Linked DNA regions of Neurospora crassa OR74A. The protein of the gene in region 1 binds, or shares a complex with, the protein of each later gene. Links are inferred from orthologs where the notes say so. Each region holds a gene or a part of one and is shown in the gene's direction. Other genes may lie near its edges.

What was found. The genes of interacting proteins can lie anywhere in the genome.
Region 2: the proteins of NCU10352 (region 1) and NCU01930 are in contact, whole or in part, in a crystal structure (PDB 3SWN), measured with the Schizosaccharomyces pombe proteins. The link is inferred for Neurospora crassa OR74A from reciprocal best matches to the Schizosaccharomyces pombe genes lsm6 and lsm7. Residues at the interface, in NP_594380.1 of Schizosaccharomyces pombe: Leu21, Tyr27, Cys33, Asp35, Tyr37, Asn39, Ala41, Glu47, Tyr57, Asp59, Ala60, Phe61, Ile62, Arg63, Asn66; in NP_588340.1 of Schizosaccharomyces pombe: Ser24, Asp27, Leu28, Tyr31, Gln37, Thr39, Thr41, Gln45, Gln55, Leu56, Met57, Gly90, Thr91, Thr92, Leu93, Val94, Leu95, Ile96, Ala97, Pro98.

Annotation. Positions count from the first base shown.
Region 1 is NC_026501.1:3,587,552-3,590,593, reverse strand, and holds NCU10352 (U6 snRNA-associated Sm-like protein LSm6), read left to right. Parts: upstream 1-1,464; 5' UTR 1,465-1,555; intron 1,556-1,652; 5' UTR 1,653-1,681; coding exon 1,682-1,793; intron 1,794-1,916; coding exon 1,917-2,030; intron 2,031-2,134; coding exon 2,135-2,157; 3' UTR 2,158-2,533; downstream 2,534-3,042. Other genes in the region: NCU09363 (hypothetical protein), read right to left, coding at 1-122, 215-637; hsp30 (hsp30-like protein), read right to left, coding at 2,780-3,042. UniProt on the Schizosaccharomyces pombe protein: Component of LSm protein complexes, which are involved in RNA processing and may function in a chaperone-like manner. Component of the cytoplasmic LSM1-LSM7 complex which is involved in mRNA degradation by activating the decapping step.
Region 2 is NC_026501.1:1,981,628-1,985,026, forward strand, and holds NCU01930 (U6 snRNP-associated protein Lsm7), read left to right. Parts: upstream 1-1,307; 5' UTR 1,308-1,525; coding exon 1,526-1,751; intron 1,752-1,863; coding exon 1,864-1,935; intron 1,936-2,023; coding exon 2,024-2,157; 3' UTR 2,158-2,894; downstream 2,895-3,399. Other genes in the region: NCU01929 (PAB-dependent poly(A)-specific ribonuclease subunit pan-3), read right to left, coding at 3,084-3,399. UniProt on the Schizosaccharomyces pombe protein: Component of LSm protein complexes, which are involved in RNA processing and may function in a chaperone-like manner. Component of the cytoplasmic LSM1-LSM7 complex which is involved in mRNA degradation by activating the decapping step.

The DNA of each region.
Region 1 (3,042 bases):
TCGAGCTTCTCAATCTCGGGAATCCGAAGCCAAAGGCCTTCATCGTCAGCAGTCAGACCAAAAGGCCGGATCATGGACCCTAAAAGAGTCCACGCATCGCCATGTGCGCTTTTGAAGAGTGCCTGGCCACCAATAGGACAATGTCAGCGCTTCTCTTGTACTATAGGTGCTTCCAATCTCATCATCAGGGCTAAGGTCATGAGGTCAAGCATACCCAAAACATCTGGTCCATGTTCTTACAGATGCAGATATCGACCTGGATGTGTCGTTGCCTGTCCTCTCCAAGCTGGGGTTCGTCTTTGGGCCAGGGGATAGCAAGGTGTATCGAATTATTACATGGGTTGACTATGGAGCGCTCCGCGTTCAAGGCTGCCTTGATGTCGGCCGCAAGCTCCTCCACCCCTCTGGGAATACAACGCCGGGGAGATGTTGGAAAGACGAGGCGGGTCTCCATGGCCACGAGGATGTCGAGGTCTCCATAGTCCTCTTTCTCGGGGCCCTCGACGGGTCCGGCGACGCACACAAACATAGTGCGTAGGGTAGCGTGGCATGCGGCTTTGACATGATGGTAGATATGGGGCGGCATGCGTGGAGTGTGTAGAGGATCGTTACCCGAGGAGAACATCGAGCCACCCATGTCGCAACGATTTGAGCTATTCGATCGTGAACACTGGAAAAGAAAAGCTTGAAGCTACTGAGCAGAAGTCGATGATGGATCTTGAGAAGGCCTGTTAAGTAGCCGATGGATCAGCAAAAAATCTCGAGTACGAGATGTACGAGGCATAATACATAGGTAAGCCGGCGTCAGTGAAGCGCAAAGCTGCCAGGGTTGCCTTCATCCAAACAAGATAAGGCTAAATGCGTTCAACGTATAGATGGAATGGGCTCGATTGGCCTCGGCCCGTGAGGGATACTACTAAAACAACTGAGATTCAACTTGGAAGCTGAGCGGTGCCCGTTTGCCCAGGTTTCCACCTGCTCGACAACCTGGTCGGCAACCATTCTTCACCATCGTCATCGCTCTTGCAGCTATTCCTGAGCCCTCAGGTTCAAGGTATATCGGCATCTTGTACTCGTCGCCCCTGCCCTCAGATTCCCGAGAACTAATTGCGAAACCATTGCCAGGGAGTGAGATGATATCAATAACAAGATGGGTGGGAACATGGTAGCGGTTCGTTTCCATCGCTCGATTATTCTCCTAAACCATGTATGCACTATGCGAAGGATCTGTGGAAAGGCTGAGCGCTGTCACGGTGTGGCAGTGCCTATACTAATGTCGTAGGTACCTACGTATGTCAAAGCTTCCTCTAGGCGCTGCGGGCCGCCTGCAGGACTTTTGCCTAGGTGCAGTACGGGCCTCACGAACGTTGCCCGTTAACATTGATACCGACCAAGCCCTGATAACCTAACGTGCAAGAGCACCAACAATCGTCAAAAGAAGTACCTCTCAAACAACAAACATTCCTCTTTTCGACATCATCACTCCCTAATCTCACCCTCCCGCCTCAACGAGTGCAGCCGCTCTCATTACTACTCAGTTACTCGCTCAAATAAAGTCAGTCCCCTACCCAGCGCACCCAAGTCTAGAGACGTCGCTCACACTCCAAAGTCGTCCCACCGCTTAATATTCCACCTGCTGACACCTCTCCCAGCCGAGTTCCATCACACCAATCGATCAATTATGGAGAACGGAGCCACGTCTCAAAGTGAGGGTAAAGACCCCTCGGGTTTCCTCAGCGAAATCATCGGTAATCCCGTCACTGTCAAACTGAATTCCGGCGTGGTTTACAAGGGTTAGTAGTAGCTTTCACCTCGTCATTTATTGTCAAACTACTGTTGTCTTGCAACTTCTTCTCTCTCGGCAGACACATGCGGAAACTAACAGGACGCCTGGGTTGTGGCACTGCGTGGTGTAGGTGAACTGCAATCCGTCGACGGTTACATGAACATTGCCCTGGAAAAAACAGAGGAATTCATCAACGGTGTGAAGAGGCGGAGCTACGGTGATGCGTTTGTCCGCGGCAACAACGGTGCAGACCCCCCCCCCCCCCCCCCCCCCCTCTCTCTTCCCCCTTTTTCTTTTTTTCTTCTTCTCTTTTCTACAATGCCAGAGTAGCGTCTAATGTTTCTGTAGTCATGTATATATCTGCGGATTAAGGCGGCATTCCAAGCACAGTTGTGTGAGGGGGGAAGAAGCTATGATGGGACGTGAGCAAGCATTCATCGATGTTGGTACTAGGGAACACACGTGCTCGAAGTCCAGCCGGCTCAAGAGTCAGACTTTCAGCTGTTCCTCCGTGCTCAGGTCAGCAAAACAGACTGATCAATCTCACGTGCAGCAGGGGCAACCGCTCACTCAACAACGGGGCCACGTTTGTCATCACATCACCAAGTACGAACTGGGGTAGTTGTGTTCAAGAACGCAACTTTAGTTATTATAAAGGATCCTCTGTATTACATTGCCTGTTTGAATCAACTGCCGACGCTGGAAGCTGATGATCCGCAAACTCGCCCAGCGCCTTGCTCATCCTCCAAATCTGTCTCGAATAGTAAGATCCGCCAATTATCCCCAACTGCAATGCCAACAAGCAAACAGACCATGACAACAAGACTCATTCGTATTCGTTCACAGCTGTGCTCCAAATCAACCAAACCAGGCCGTCATACCAATGCGATGCTAAATGAAGTAAATGCTCCGTTGTCATGCTGTTAACACACCGACTCTCCTTCCAAGAATTCTTCCGAACCTTATCACAGACAAGAAGACCGTTCATCGTGTTTAGTTAATAGCAATGCGAATGGTTTCGTGCTTCTTGGCCTTGGGAACCGTGATGGTGAGGATGCCGTTGTTGAGAGAGGCGCTGACTGCGTTTTGGTCGACACGACCGGGGAAGTTGAAAGTCCGCGAGAACTCGCCAATGGAGCGCTCAGAGACCCAGTACTTTTCGGCTGGCGCCTTTGGCTTTTCCTCGGTGGTGGGTGCGCTTGCGCGTTGGGCGACTTGCTGATTGTTCTGGTTGTTGGCGCCGGTAGCAGTGGTGG
Region 2 (3,399 bases), about 1.6 Mb from region 1:
TGGTGCCGATTCAAGCCGGTGAGGGAAGCCCAATATAGGTAGGCGCGTACAGAACCATGCGCGATGCGACCTGTACCTGTATTAGGAACCCAAACTTGCCGTAACCGTTTGGCAGTGGGATAGCTGGAGGTCTGATAGTCGAGAGCAAATTGTGAGGTCAATGAGGATATGCTTCCCTTGCTCGAAGTTTGATAACAGCCGGGGCAACGAGTCAGGGACACTTCTAGCCAGTGGATAGAGGGGTCGAGTCGTTAAGTAGTGTAGGCATCCGTCAATGGAATATGTAGGTAGTAACACCGATTTTCGAGCGGCTGGAAACTAAGGCCCGTTTTGCTCCTTGGGCAAGCTTGGAGTTTGGTAGGACCTACTTGTGAACTCCCAATCGCACCTCGTCACATGGAACCCAACTCGATCGGATACTCTTGGCCCGGTGAGCGTGCGTCTTGGTTCAATGGCTCTCGGATGTTGCCGAGAGAAATTGAGTTCTTGTCAAGCACCTGAATTTCAAAGACGGCGCTTCTTGATTCTTGGCACACATGCCTGACAGTCTTGGACACAAGTTTCTTCGCCGCTGCATTGAGAGCCAAGATGGTAGGCGGCTGCTGCAACGCACCATGTTTTCGCTACTAGGTAGTTTGGCAGTTGTTCCCGTTGCTCAGAACCAAAGACAGAACTTGAACGATGGCCAGGCGAAGTATTCCCTCCTCAGCCGTCCGACCATGTTAAAAGGTCGTAGCAGATGATTAATGTGTTGGGATATTGACAAGCTCATCACACGACATGAAAACCCTACGGCACTGCAGAGTTGACGGACATGGTGGGAAGTCGAAGAGAAAGAAATAAACATACCAGGGCGACCTTTCATGGAACAAAAGTGTAGTGTAGTGGATGAGCTGGCGGGCCGTGTCTGTGAGCCGTCCAGCACATCAAATTGGTACTCATGACACGCATTGTTTTACACTGCTGGACGTCACGAAGAAGAGTCTGAGGAACGAAGGCAGGATTAAGAAACTTCGAGGTTTCGATCAAGCCGGTTGTGGTTGGACTGGAAGAGAAGGGAAGGGAAGTTGAGAAGCTAAAAAAGAAAGCTTGGGCCACTCAATCTACGAAGTGTAGTGTAGCGATTCACGGCTCCTGTCGTCAGCCAGTCTGGGGAATGCTACCTGGACCTCAAGGATCCACACTACCCGCACTTACAGCCGGATGGCAGCCCCACAGCGGGGTGCTTGGCAAAGCACAGCTGTGGAAGAAACTCAGCTAGGCGTCACTCCCGCCAGCGGATGCAGACGCCAAAAACGCGACTGACCCAGACGGGACGACTGACCAACCCCACGACATCCATCGCAACCCATAGCGCCAGCCAGCCTGACGACAACAATCGCAGCACCGAACGACATTACCAACACCACAAATCAACACTCGACAATCGCCAATCGGTTCGGTTTCGACGACTTCCTCTCTTCTTCCATACCCACCAGCGCAATACACGGCGCATACTCAATCAACTTCACAAAGAAACAGAACAATGGCCGATAGAGGAAATAGGGGAGGCCGTGGTGGCGGCTACCGGGGCGGTCGCGGAGGTAACCGTGGAGGAGCAGGTGGTTCTGGCTCCGGCGCCGGTGGAGGTCAGGGAGGCGGTGGTGCTCAGGGCGGTGACCGCGGTGAGCGCCCTAAGAAGGAAAACATCCTCGACCTCAAGAAGTATATGGACCAGCGCATCACTGTCAAGTTCAACGGTGGACGTGAAGGTACGTCGTGACATGGCTGTTTCCCGAGTCCCCTCAACGAGCTCCCTTAAAGCTCCCCACAAAGCTCCCTACAAAGCTGACACAAACCCTTCTCTTGTCTTCGACACAACAGTTACCGGTACGCTCAAGGGATATGATGCGCTTATGAACTTGGTTTTGGATGATGTGCAGGAAGCTGTGAGAGGTAAGCTGTTGCCTCCCTTGCCTTTCTCTGCCCAGTGCACCTCGCTCTCTTTGGCCCCAGTTGGTCCTAACCCACGCACCTATAATAGACGAAGAAGGCAACGAAACCACCCGTCCTCTAGGACTTGTTGTTGCGCGCGGTACGCTCCTCGTTGTGATCAGCCCCGTCGACGGAAGCGAGGTGATTGCGAACCCCTTCGCTCAGCAGGAGGAAGAAGCTTGAGCAGAAGGGAATGCTCGTCTGGACAAAGTAAAACTGCATCATTTTCGAAACATTATACCAACTTGGGGATCTGAACGCCATCCCGTCATGCTCGTAAACCGAGCGATACCGCAATTGGACGAGACGACAATTTTGACGAAGGAAAACGGGGCAGGACAGTGAGAAGGAACACCAGGACAGAAACCTGAAAGGTTGAGAGAAGTCTAACAATATGTTATGATATCCGCCCCACTCAAGGATAGGACGGTGCAACAAGGGAAACATTGCTGAGTTGGGTGAGCAAACACCCAGTGTCGAGCATGAAGGAACACAAGTCGGCCCCAGCTACCAACGATACCCACCAGAGGGACTGTAAGAACAGGGGTTGGCTACATCGAGAAGAAACACACATGCAGCTGGTTGCCCTGAGTTATGGTAAACGTCCAGCCAACGCCGTTATTGACGAGTGGGGGAATCTAACTGGAAATCAAGCCAGAAGGCAACATATGCCTGTTCAAGAACGTCCCTTGGCTCCATGAACTCTCGAGCAGCGGCAAGTTTTCTCATTCAGTATCTCCTAGTGGAATGAGAACGCTTGGGAAGATAACGAATAGTTCGGCTCACCGCATACATATGCCAGTTGTTTTCAGCCCACATCCTGCTCTGGGACGGAATTGGGCACGTGTTCTGAGTCTGTTTTCTAGTTCGCTATCTAACATGATCTGCTCATCGCTGTTAACCACTTTCCACCACTTAGTCCACATTTCTTCTTCTCAATCCCCCCTCTTCGCTTTCCTGGTAGGTCAAGCTCGCTTTGGTCGGGCTGCTACGTCCATTATTGTCGTTCAGCCTTCATTTGAGCTGCGATCCATATCCTCGCCATGGCAAAGGCCGTCACCGAACATGTGGAGCCATTGGCTGAAAGCGCAAGTCGAAAGACTCTATATTCAGATGGTAGCCCCCGTCGCGCTCGGTTTACTTTCCTTTCCAAGCTCGCCATACGCACGGTCCAGCATCTGTCGTATACTCCTGTAGCTGACGACGAAAACCGTGGCATTGTCGCGACTGGTGAGCAAGATCTGTTCTTCGGAGCTGGCGTCGAGCTTACTCAAGCAATTGAGGTAGTGATTCGTGTCGAGCCGAGCCTTTCCATCGGCATCCACTTGGTGGAAGACATAATCCCTGAATAGTTTTAGGAGGAGGCGCTCTCCAGTTTCCGACCAGTTGTGCACCCCACAAGAATCGCCCCGCTCGTTAACAACG